Oryctolagus cuniculus: one gene and its partners. The protein of the gene in region 1 interacts with the protein of each later gene in a biochemical or structural test. Links are inferred from orthologs where the notes say so. Each region holds a gene or a part of one and is shown on either strand. Other genes may lie near its edges.

Region 1 (4,299 bases):
TGCCCAGAATTGCTCCTTTCACATCAGATTAACTGAAAAGTTTCTGTTAATTTAGTTCCACATGATTTCAAAAGAAGCACTGCTATTTCTCTAACTGACCAGCCCTGGGGCAAGTGTTAGCCCAAAAGGTGCTGTTCCCTTCTTCCCACTCCATAGTTTCAGCTGCTATGCTAGTCAGTTCATTATAAATGCAGACTTCCAAAAGACTCGAAGACTCACCTGGGGCATTTGCTATGGCCAACGGCAGGCCTGGGAGCTGGTGCACCTGGATTCCTGACGTACCCAACGCACTGAGGTTAATGGTCTGAAGGCCTGGCATAGAGGAGAGTTGAGCAGCATTCACAGTGACTGTGCCGGCAGGGATGGAGGCAGCTGAGGCAATGGGTGTAAGGGTGGTGCTGCTGCTGCTGGTCTGCCCCAAGGAAACACCCTGCATCGGGGCCAAGGTGATTGTCTGGGCCTGTGGGTTCTGAACTTGGAGGTTCTGCAGCTGAAGAGTCTGCCAACTGACCTGTCCATTGGGCCCAACGGTTGGTGTCCGGATGATGATGGGACCAGAGTTTGGAACAGCCTGCAGCTGGAGGTTCTGGAGGGTTTCCTGGGAGATGGCCTGGGTTGTAAAGGTCTGTCCTGACAACGGCGCCGCTTGGAGGGCCTGGAGGGCCTGTCCCCCCTGAACTAGCTGAGGCTGGATCAGAATCGGCTGTTGCTGTGTCTGCTGGTTTGGCTCTCCCTCCTTCTGCTGACTTGCCTGCAGGGAGCCTCCAGACGTCTGGTTCTGCTGGATGTTCAGCGCATCAGACCCCTGCAGCCCCCCGACCCTCTGGGGTGTCTGACCTTGAGAGTTGGTCCCTGACGATCCGCTGGTGGTGAAATTCATGATTCCCATGTTGCTGGTGGTAGTCGTCGTGGAGTAGCTGTTAGCATTGGTGAAAAAGGAGCTGGAGCTGGCTTGTGATGACACCAAACTGGCGGAACTGATGGTGGTCGTCCCTGAGGTGACGGGCTGTGAGCCACTCTCCTGGGACCCCGAGCTGCTGATGGTGACTGCCTGAGAGCTGGGAGTCAGGGTAGCTGCAGAAACGCTATTGACAGGTAGCAAGGTGATGTTCCCGTTCAGGGCCACCGGGACGTTGGTCACATACTGAGTCTGTCCTGAGAGCACATTATTGGCCAGACCTTGGAGGGGGACAGCCTGTTGAAGCAGGTTTGGCATAGCAGCGATGATGTTGCCTCCACTTCCTCGGTTTGTGATGATCTGTTGGTTTGCACCTGGTATGATCTGTATCTGACCAGAACCATCCTGCTGCACTTGGGCCCCCGTGGTGGCGAACTGCAGCTGCTGCCCATCGACGGTCTGGAATTGGGGGATTACTTGGTACTGAATGTTGGGCATCACTCCAGGTAATCCTGTCAGAACTTGCTGGTTCTGTAAGTTGGGGGTGGCAGCCACTACATATTGCCCACCAGAGACGGTGCGGTTCTTGGAAGACTCGCTGCCATTGCTGCCATTGGTATTGCTGCCACTCTGTTCCTTTGAGGTAGGGGTAGCCCCAGAGGAGGAGGAGATGATCTGCCAGCCATTGGCACCCTGTGAAAGTTGTGCGGCGGTGAGGTCAAGCTCACCTGTGCCCCCTGACTGGCTGGGGCCCTGGGAGTTGTTGCTGTTCTCATTGGGAGACTCAATTCTGCTGCAAGTTGCTGCCAGCAGAGCCAAAGGGGATGGCTGGGATTCCTGGCCAGAAAGGGGGAGATGAGAGGAGTTAGTGACACCCAGCCACCAGCCTAGGGGGCAGTATACAACAAATAAACAGCAACACAATGAAGATTAAAAAGGGGGGGAAAAAACCAACCCAAAAACAGAAAGGAGGTCCTATCGGTACTGCTGCAAACTACCATCTTTAGCGAATCTAAGTTCCTTGAGTCTCTGCGCTGGCTTCCCCATCTATAAAATGTAATCCTCTCCTAAAACTCTTCTGGGAAGAGTAAGCCAGTTTTCTACGAGTATTTACAACCATCCTCTCAACACCTCCCCGCCCCCAGTTCCGGCTGTCACTCACCTGCCCGCCTCCACCTCCTCCACTGCTGCTGCTGCTGCCCGTGCTGCTGCTCCGAGCCTGAGAAAAGGCACCGCCACCGTTGCCATTGCCCCCATTATTGCCACCAACTCCCTTTTCAATCTTCACCACTGCTGTCATTTCATCCATGGAGTGATCTTGGTCTAAAAAAAGAATGAAAAAGAAAAAACAACTTAGCGTGGGGGAAGGGGAGGAGGGGGTGGATAGAGTGCAGGAGAGTTTACAGAAGGCTATGATGAAACAGCAGTGACTAACAGGAAGTACAAAGAAAATGCATTGGGGCAGGGGGGAACTGCAAGGCACATGTGTCATGAGCCAGGCTCACGGCCACGAAGTTTGGCCTCAGGTTTTCCTTGCACAAAAATTAAACTCAGAAAAAGGTGCTCTGGGAATAGGCCACGCAGGCCCGTACAAAGGGTTTCAAAATAAGAAAACGTGTCCTGGGGGTAGAAAGGAGCAGGACAGGTAAGGCCAAACAACATGTGGGTGGATGGAAAGCTTGCTAAAATTAGGGACAAGAGCGATGGAGGCAAAAAATCCAAGTACAAAATGCACCGAGAGGAGACAGGGGAAAAGGGGGGAAGGAGAAACGGTAAGCGGGAGTGGGGAACCATTGGGGACCACAGGTAAGGGGATAAAGGGGTGCAGGAGTGAGCAATCAGAAGGTTTCGGGGCGGGGAAAGGGCGGGCCCTGGAGGGAAAGGGCGGTTTCGGGGTGAGGGGCGTGGAAAGGGCGGGACGCTGGGGGGGAGGGGAGGTCTACGGAAAGTGGGGGGAGGAGGGCCTAGGGGCAGGCGGCGACCGGAGGGCGGACCAGGGAGGCGGTTGGCCCGGGCGGGGCCTGCCCTGCTCGGGCCGCCCCCGCGGCTCCAGCCCCCCGACGGGAGGAGCCTGAGGCGGGAGGCCGAGTTGTGGGGGGTAAGGCCGTCCCCCCCGTGGCCGGGGCGGGCAGGGGGCGGGCGAGGCCACGCTGCCCCCTCCCCCGGGGCGGGCGGCCCATCCCCCTCCTTCTCGGAGGCCCCGCCACTGCCCCTTCTCCCTCCCTTCCCTCCGCCCCGGGCGGGACCAAGGCCGCCGCCGCCGCCTCCCGCCCGCCCCCCCTCACGGCGGGGACCGCCCGGTCTGCCCTCGCGCGCGCCCCCTCACTCCTCTCCCACCCCTCAGCGTGGAGTGGACTCATCCTTACCGCTCATGGTGGCAGCTGAGGGACGAGCTCAAGGGGGTCCTGTCCGGGGGGGTTGGGGGGGGCCGGGAAAAACGCGGACGCTGACGAGGCAAGCGAACCCGGACCGGACAGGGAGGGGGGGGGTAAGGAGGAGGGAGCAGCGCGCCGCAAGCCCAGCCTGGGCCCCGCCCCTTCAGTGCTGCCCCGCCCAATGAGGGAGGGGGAAAGGAGGGACTTGGAGAAGAAAGGCGGGCAGGCTATCCAATGACAATACTCACTCGCTCCCTGAGGCGTGTAAGACAAAGTTGAATGCCTGGTATCCGCCCAAAAAGGCCGCCCCCTCAATTTTCAAGGCCAATGAAGAATGCAGGAAGTGAAGGTAGGCGGGCGCTAGAGATGATAGGCTTGGAAATAAGCCAGTCAGCCAGCAGGCGGGATCCCTGAGAGGTAGCGATAGGAAGAGCTTCGATAGAAATGACACATCAATGACCAACCACAATCCGGGACGTGCCTGGGCAAAGTCCTGGTGGGAGGAGAGGTAAGAAATAGCCCGGAATGGGCTGGGCTGAAGCTGATCATAGCCAATCAGAAATCAGGCGGGCAGCCAGGAAAGTTATGATTGGGTAAATGCTGAAAAGAGACGGAAGAGGACGCATATTGACGTGAACTAAAAACCAATTAAATTCCGAGTGGGCTCTGTAGGCGGGAACTTAGAGTGGGCAGAGGTGAATTGGCTTCTCCCTCAGTTACTCAGGCCAATGAGGGAGCGAGGTGAGTCTGGCACCGCCTCCAAATTGGGCAATGGGTGTTATTTGGGCCTCCCATCATGAGGGAGGGAACTGGGCTGTGCCAAGAGAAGTCCGTCGCCATGTTGGCCCTCCTCTGGGGACGTCTTTACGGTGATTAGGTGGTACGCGTCAGCAGAGCCCTGCAGCTCAACAAGTGGCAGAACCAGGACACTCGGCGCGTAGTTGTGCCTCGCCCGCGGGGGCTCGTTTTGGTTTTCATATATGGGGGTGGAATAAGGAGGAGGGAAAAGTGCCTCTCACGCCGCTC
Region 2 (3,983 bases), on another chromosome or scaffold:
CAGAGACACTATTAAGATACTCTGGCTTTTTTATTCCCATTCCATTTCCTCTAGCATGGATCACCCAGCAACTCAGAGTTCTCCCAAACTTACAGACAATGTTTTCCCAGATCCGGTCTGAGCTACTCCAACCATATCTAATCCACTTAGAGCAACTGGCCATCCCTGAGCTTGAATAGCAGTGGGTTCAGTAAAGTTCTGCCTTGCAATCACGTCCATGACGTTTGCTGTAATTACAGCATTTTAGTAAACACTTGTAATGCCAACAGAAAGGAGGCAACAGGGGGAGAAGGGTGGTAAGCTGACTGAAAACCAGCACTTACCAGGAAAGTTTGCTTCATAGAAATTCAGAACTGGCTTTGGGCAATTGTGACCTCTAACTGTAACTTCCTTGCTTCTTCTGTATGTCTCCACCTCTTGCTGCAAAACAAATCATAACCACTTTAGTAACTCTTGACAGAGTCCCCTAAGCAAACACAGCTAGCAAACTCTGAACCTACAGGTGAAAATTCAAAGCCACCTCCTCCCCAAGCCAAAAAGAACTCCCCAAATTGAAATGTCCGCCAAGACACTTGTTAGATTTTGATTTCCTAGCTTAGTATTACTCAGGTAATACTGAATGATGATCAAAGCCACATGAAATTACTCACGGCTGTGCGTCTAGCCAAATCAGGATGTTCTTGATAAAAATTCTTCTCAAATTTGGGCAGCTCATCAAGATTCCACTTCTTTTTAACTAGTTTCTCTCCAGGGTTTCCAAATTTCTTTCCAGATAGAGGCCCTGCCCTACTTCCTCCAAATCGAGGCGCACCAAACCTGAAATTAAGAATGTTACATTTCTTCACGTCTGTATTTGGCGTTGGACAGATTTTAGCACTCATCAGCTCCAGTAATTATCCCTGAGAGCAGTCAACAGCATCACTTCCCACAGCCGCAACTATCGAGGCCAAGTACACGGCCCGCGATCGATAAGCTCAGAAACGGGCTGACCAAACTGCAGGATTTCAAGCATACAAGGACAGACAAGTCTGCGGCTACTACAGTCTCCGAGCTAGGGAATGCAGCAGCCGGGAGCCGGCCTATACGAGAAGGGTGGTGCCTAAAACAGCGATGCTACTCTAACGACTGTGTTCGAGCAGAGGCGCTTCCGTGTTAAACACGAACGGTAACGAGGCAGCCACAGCAGGGAGAGCGGCACAGGGAAGGTGTTTCTCCAAGGCACGCCGGGAAACCAATCGAGGTGGGGGAACCCGGCGGAAGAGCTCCCGATCAAGGTAGCAAAATTATATAACGCGAGAAGGAGAAGGAGGAGCCGGTGACTACCGGGGGAGGAGTCCGGGCCCGGGCGGAGTCGCCGGGCGGCGTTCCCGCTGGGGCGGCGCTTCCCCCTTTGTCTCGCATTTCTCTCTGCGCCACATTTTCTCGACGCTGCCATTTTGAGCTCCTCCGCCGGGCGGGGTAACAAAGGCGCCGCCGCCATGTCCGAGGCCGGCATTTTGTGCTCGCGGCTCAGCCACATGGCCGATCCCGAGGGCGCCGGCCGGCCGGCCGCTGCCTCCGCACCGAACCCACGGCTTCGGAGCGGCCCCTCTCCCACAGAACTCCCGGCGCCCCGAAAACACCTCCCCGAAGGCCGTACCTAACGGCGGCTCCCCGCTCCGCCCCGAAGCGCCGCGCTCTCCTCACCCCGCAGGGCGTTCCGCCAAATCCCCCAACAGCCGCCAAATGGCCGCTCCCCACCCCCAGACAAAAAGCGGGCTTCGGAACAGCCAAAACGACAAGCCTCTTCGGGTCACTTCGAAGCGAACGCCAAAATGGCGCAAACCTCCGACCGAGGCCCGAGAGGAGCCCGCGAAGGCCGCGTCGCCGCCCGCCGCCGCCCTCCCATCCCCCCTCTCCGGGCCTGACGGGTCCGCTCCCCGACTCACCCTCGATCGCGACCGCGATCCCGGTCGCTCGAGTATCCCGACATGGCGTCAATGGTTGCGGTTGGCGGGGGACGAAGCTAAGAGAAACGGGTGCGACGAGTCGCTGCAAGAGGCTTCGACGGCGGCGAAGCCTCGCGGGGGCGGCAGCGGCGGAGGAACGGCGGTGACGAGAGCCGGAGCTGCACGACCAGAGGCCGGTGGAAATGAATGAGGTGCCGGCCGCGTCCCGGCAGCCGGTTTTATAGTGCGGACCGCCTCCTCCGCCGCGGAGGCTGCTGGGAGCCGATCTGTGACCTCATCGCCCCGCCCCCCGCGCAGGGGGCCGCAACGCCCACCGGCGTTCTGGAATCCGCCCTGGGGTCCCCGCCGCCCCCGCGGCCGCTCCCTCCCGGGGCGCCCGTTTTTCTCCCGAGTCGTGTCCGGGCCCGCCCACCACAGGGATGCTTCAGCATGCATTTCCTTGACTTCACCTTTTTCTCGTCCTTCTACACCTCCAGCAAGCCTCCCCGCCTTCTCCCTGGACCGACAGGCACATAAAATGGCCAGGACAGGCCAGCCCACTCTCTCCACTCAGAGATGTTTACGTCTCCACAGAGCCCTCACACCCATAACCAAATAAGACGGGAAGGCGGAACCTGGCCTCGTCACGTGACAAGCCCCGCCCCCGGTCTGGGGAGGGGTCGGCACTACTTTCCCCCGCGGGAGTCGGCGGAGGAATACCTAACAAAGTAGTTCCCCGGAAGTCCAGTTCTGCCCCCTCCAGGAGACCGGCCGGGACAGCCGGGTGACCTAAACTGCCCGAGAATCCACCGACCCGAGAATCCTTCAGCAGTCTCCTGCCCGTGGAGAACGGTAGCTGCTGTCCGCAAACCGCCGCCGAGGCGCGTGCTGCGACAGGAAGTGGTCCTCCGAGGGCCAATCAGCGGCGAGAAGCCGTTGTAATGTCCCTCCCTCTTCGACCTGAGCCTCCTGCCTGGCGCCTCGGTTCCTACCGGCCCCGCCCACCTCCGGGTCTCGCCGTGCGACCCTTCCCGGACACCGTCGCCCGCGCGTCGGAGGCGCCTCGGACTGCGGCGCCGCCCTTCCTCCGCGACATGGCCGACTCGGGGGCTGGTGAGTCTCGGCCTGGAGGTCCGGTGTGTGTGGACCGAAGCCCCCCAAGTGCCCGAAGGCGTCGGGCCGGTCTCACCGGGGTGTCGGGGGCCGGCGAGGCTTGTGACTGTCAAGACGCCCCGTCGCCGTTGGGGTTGTCCGGGGTAGGGTCTGTCAGCCCCGCCGCCGGCTCGCTCGCGGCCGCGGAGCCGCGCCGTCGGGGCGGGGAGAGACGGACTGTGGCAGCAGTCGTCTTGCCCTGGGCGCCGAGCCCGCAGGCCGTTTGTGTCGGCCTTTGGAGGAATAGCACTTTCAGCCGCTGTGCCCTTGCTAGCTAGGGTTGGACCAGGGCTGCTCTCTTCTCTTCGGTGCCCTCTGGCGTCGCCGGCTTTGTCGGCCACGGTTTTTTGAGACACGAAATGGATTTCGTGGTCTGGGACGCTACAACGTTTTCTCCAGCGTCTACACAAACAAGTTGCCATGGCTTGGACGGTTGTGAGAGAGGGGCGTGGCGGTACGCCGAGGGTACACACCCCAAGTGCCCCCCTCTGTTTCCAGAACTGAGCAAAATGCTCTCCCATTAACCGCCAGTCATTTCAGGGAACGAGTGATTCAGACTTGGTAAACGACTTTTGGTCGAGCAGCTTTCCTGATCGCAGCAGTATTTGGCGGAGGGGAGCGTGGTAGCGTGCTAGTTCGCAGTGTAGGGGTGTTTCCATGTCTGCCCCGTGCGTTCCTGCGGGTACATTAGATGGAATAAAGGAAAGCTGTTCTTAACAGGCTGAGTTAATCACCACCTGTTTGGGCGCCGGCGAAATCCCGACAGGCGCAAGGTGATTTGGTAAAAACATGATGATTACTACTGGGAATTAGAAGCGGCTCTCATTAGTTTCTAGTGACTTCAGATGCTCATTACCTAGCTGTCTTGTTTATGACAGATGCTCTCCTTAACTTTCAATTAAA
Region 3 (4,048 bases), on another chromosome or scaffold:
AAATTTTCCTATTATTTTTTCTTTTATATTTTTGTTAAAATTGGTTCTTTTTTTTCCTAAAATATTTATTCATTTATTTATTCTATTGGCAGAGTGACAGAGAGAGTGAGTCTCCCTCTCTCTGTGTCTCTCTCTCTCTCAGATCTACACACACACACACACCCACACACACAGCAAGAGCAAGAAATATATATAGGGATCTTTCATCCACTAGTTTATTCATCAAATGGTCAAAATATTCAGAGTTGGGCTAGGGCAAAGCCAGGAGCCAGGAATTCATCATGTTTTCCAATGGGTGGCAGGTACCTAAGTCCTTGGGTCATCATCCACTGCATTCCTAGGAACATTAACAGGGAGCTGGATTGGAAGAACAGCAGCTGGAACTTGAACCTACACTTTGATATGAGATGCTAGCATTGTAAGTTGTCGCTTAATATGTTGTGCCACAATGCTAGTTCCATGTAGGTAATTTTTCTATTGATTTGTTTTCCAATTCACTATTTTTTTTTTAAGGTAACAAGTTTTTGGTTTATTTCAAACATGTACATGTAACTTAAGAGTTTGAGGCTTGCTCTCTGGTTTGACTCTCATCTTACAGAACTGTTATACACAGACATCCCTTTTTCATCAGCTATTATGTGTTTTTTTCACCCTGTAATTAATAAAAATTAGCACCTAACTCTCTATTAAACTATTTTTGGATACCTTTCAGGGTTACTGTATTTACTTTTCCTGCTGTCACATTTTGTACCCTAGTGCAAAAAAATAAAAGACCTCCTATTTCAGTGATCCAAAACTTAAGCATAATTAAGTGAACTGTTAATTTATTTTACTTTATCCGCAGAACACAGACCACCATTGGGAAACAAGAAAAAGCACCAAGTAAAAAGCCAATGAAAAAGAGAAAAAAGAAGAGAGCTGCTAATTAAAGCTAACATAGTTGTATATTTGTATATATAACTATTAGATGTATTTATTCAGTGCTAACAACCTGGGTATCATTTATTCACAAATCCCTAAGTTTTATTTTTTTAACATTAAAGTGAATGTTCTAGAGCTTTTTCTCTGAAAATTTTGTCATCTCAAAGCCTTATTCCCCAACCTGTGTATGTGTAAAGTGTAAAAATTGATGAGGAATAAAATAATCTGATAGGCTGCTGTGTGTGTACAAAGAAGAATGATTTTCATCGTACTGGTAAATAAGCACAGATTTATTGTGCAGAAATCGGCAGACTGATCCAGTTGCTTAGGAAAATGGATATTAGAACATTGAGGGTCTGTTTTCCTAAAGTCAACTTTTTAGAGAGTGGCTTTCCACTCCCCACTGTACTGTATAAGCCAGGTAACTTTTCTAAGAAATCTTGAAGTCAGGTTTTTATCTCAAATTAAATTTGACTTATAAAATTTTCCAAATCAATTTATTAATTCTTAATATCCTGACAGCTGGCATCATTAATACTTTTAACAAAACCACTTAAAATTAGCCAAATATCTATGATAGATACATGTACAAAAGATATACAAATTAAAACCATTTAAAAAGTAATAGATACCATAATTTGTTCTTGTCCATAACTTCTGTATTCAGAAATGATTGTAACATTCAAAACCCAAGATAAAAACTGTACACAATATACTTTGAGTGATTTACATCTTAGAAACAAATGCAGTCTTTCACTGTTAGACATTTAGTGTCTCTGGTGGGTTGAGGAGGGAAACACCATGATACTTTGAATTTTTGTACTTTTCTCTTATTGATTGTTGTGCATGCTGTGGTGCTTTGAGGTAGGTCTGGTGAAGGTCCATGAGACAAGGCTTAAGAGTCTCCAGAGTGTATCCAGTCTTTCGTACTAATGATTCAGGCCAGCTTTGTCCCGTGACTGTGTAGAGTGCTAAATGAAATGCTGCTCCAGCAATAACTGATGGCAGATACTTTAGGTATGGGTCAGCATCTATCAAACTTAATTCTCCCAAAAACATTGCTAAACTTTCGACTTTGCAGTTTGCAGGCTGCTGATGTAGAAAGTATTGGGTAAGAAACTGATTTACCGTTGGTGCAGCTAAGTCAAAAGCAAGGACTTTCAAAACTAGATGCTCCATTCTCAGAACTTGTTTCTTTGTATAGGTATCATCTGTAATGTATACAAACTCTGCTACTTCTGGTGGGTATATTTCTTCAAATTTTGAGGCTAGCAGCATAGCAGCAGTGCCCACAAGCTGAAGCTTTCCTCTCAACACAGACATTGAAGAAAGAAACCTATCGATGTAGTTCACCGCCAAATGCAGAGTCTCATTCTGTAGTTTATATTCCTCTCCTACTTCAACTAACCAGTCCACGAGGATAGCCCTCATACTGTTAGTGATGTCAGGCTGTTTCTTCATGTAACCCACTTTAGGTTTACATTTAACCTCCATTTCCCTAAGATATGTGTGAATATCCTCATGGTAGTCTGGGACTTCATTAACACTCACTGGCTTTTCATCTTCTAATACAATTGACATGTCCATAGTATATGGTGACTCGAAACTACCATCCATTGGCTAATCAAGAGGTACCAGTGGTTTTCTTTGTCCAGGTAAAGTGATGGCTGAATTAAAAGCCAGGACATCTTCAGGCTTGTCTTTTTTAGATTCCGTGGGCCTCTTGGGAGGCTCCTCTTCTGCTTCATCCACATGAATGGTGAATGCAGGCTGTTTACTGTTTGCTTTCCAAGGAGGAACAGAGACCTGCTCATCATTTATAGGAAGATCCTTAAGAGGTGCAACCCGTCGCGTCGTGGGCCTCTGTTGTGGAACTGGACCCCGGGAGTTCCCAGCCTTCAGTACCACCAGAGCAGCCTGGGCCCGCGGCTGCTGGGCGTGCACCGCCTTCTCGGGGTTGATGTTCTCCTGGTCCTCTAGGAGCGCCGAGCCCGCCTCGCCGGCCGCGGGCTTCGGCACGTTGTGGCCCAACATCGTTGCTCCAGGGAGCTGGCGGCGGGATCAGTCTGCCGAGCCAAGCAGCGTGCACACTCCGCCCAGTCGACCAGCGGCGCCGATCCCGCCCAGGAACGCTCCAGCCGTAGCCCCTCGCCGCAGCCCGGGCCAGTCTGCCAGCCCTCCCGCTCGCTCCCCTGTCTCCGGAACGCGCAGGATCGAGGAGGTTGCGAGAGGCGCAGGCAAACGCTGCCGGGCGCGGAGGGCAAAAAAAAATCCAATTCACTATTGCTTCCTCTTTCTCTCCCATTCCACTGTTGAGCCCATTCATGGAGTTTTCAAAATATTAGTTATTGAATATTTTATTTCAAAATATATTTTCTTCTTTATATATTCTTTTCTTTGGCTAAAACTTTATGTTTTTTATATTTGTTCCAAGTATATTCATGATTATTGTGGAAGTATTTTTATTGTAGAGTCTACAAAATCCTTGTTAGACAACCCTGAGTGTCAACATCTTTAGATCATGTTTTCTCACTCTAATTGAGAATAGCCTAGTTTTCCTTTTAACATAAGTGATTATTAAAATTAAATTCTTGATATATTAGTGATTAATATTGTGAGACATTTGATCTCATTTAAATATTTGATATGGCAGGATCCTATGACGCTACTCCAATGGGGAAAGGACATCATCTTATTATCAGCAGCTTGGCCTCCATTGACACTGGGGAAGGGGTACTCTTTATAAGTGTGGGGCAGTAGTAGAAGACAAGACTCTCCACTATGTACCTACTAATACTACTCAGGCTGGATGTGGAAGAATTGCCTCATTACTGATCCCCATGTGGCTTCTCTGACACTTTCAGGGGATGGTTTGCCTTGTTACTTTTAAGATTAGCTGAAGTCGTAACTCTGTATTTGGTCTTCTCGGACATCCATCCAGCAGGGAAGGAGAGGGGCACCTCAAAATCTCCATGTCATACCAGGGGATTCCAATTCAATCCCATCAAGGTGGCATGTGCCAATGCCATCTCGCTATTCCAGGTGATCAATTTCAGTTCACAATTGATCATAATGAAAGGACTGAGAGTCAAGGGGAGCACATGGGCAAGTCTAGTATCTGCTGACA

What was found.
Region 2: the proteins of SP1 (region 1) and DDX5 form a complex in vitro, tested with the Homo sapiens proteins (2 studies listed by BioGRID). The link is inferred for Oryctolagus cuniculus from reciprocal best matches to the Homo sapiens genes SP1 and DDX5.
Region 3: the proteins of SP1 (region 1) and cyclin-A2 form a complex in vitro, tested with the Homo sapiens proteins (2 studies listed by BioGRID). The link is inferred for Oryctolagus cuniculus from reciprocal best matches to the Homo sapiens genes SP1 and CCNA2.

What each region holds. Positions count from the first base shown.
Region 1 is NC_091442.1:56,373,472-56,377,770, reverse strand, and holds the start of SP1 (transcription factor Sp1), read right to left. Parts: upstream 2,806-4,299; 5' UTR 2,391-2,805; coding exon 2,061-2,390; intron 1,736-2,060; coding exon 220-1,735; intron 1-219. UniProt on the Homo sapiens protein: Transcription factor that can activate or repress transcription in response to physiological and pathological stimuli.
Region 2 is NC_091448.1:14,225,998-14,229,980, reverse strand, and holds the start of DDX5 (probable ATP-dependent RNA helicase DDX5), read right to left. Parts: upstream 2,801-3,983; 5' UTR 2,399-2,800; intron 2,108-2,398; 5' UTR 1,973-2,107; coding exon 1,929-1,972; intron 817-1,928; coding exon 651-816; intron 421-650; coding exon 324-420; intron 228-323; coding exon 94-227; intron 1-93. Other genes in the region: CEP95 (centrosomal protein of 95 kDa), read left to right, coding at 2,870-3,041. UniProt on the Homo sapiens protein: Involved in the alternative regulation of pre-mRNA splicing; its RNA helicase activity is necessary for increasing tau exon 10 inclusion and occurs in a RBM4-dependent manner. Binds to the tau pre-mRNA in the stem-loop region downstream of exon 10.
Region 3 is NC_091435.1:65,355,125-65,359,172, forward strand, and holds cyclin-A2, read right to left. Parts: upstream 2,539-4,048; coding exon 1,681-2,538; 3' UTR 501-1,680; downstream 1-500. UniProt on the Homo sapiens protein: Cyclin which controls both the G1/S and the G2/M transition phases of the cell cycle. Functions through the formation of specific serine/threonine protein kinase holoenzyme complexes with the cyclin-dependent protein kinases CDK1 or CDK2.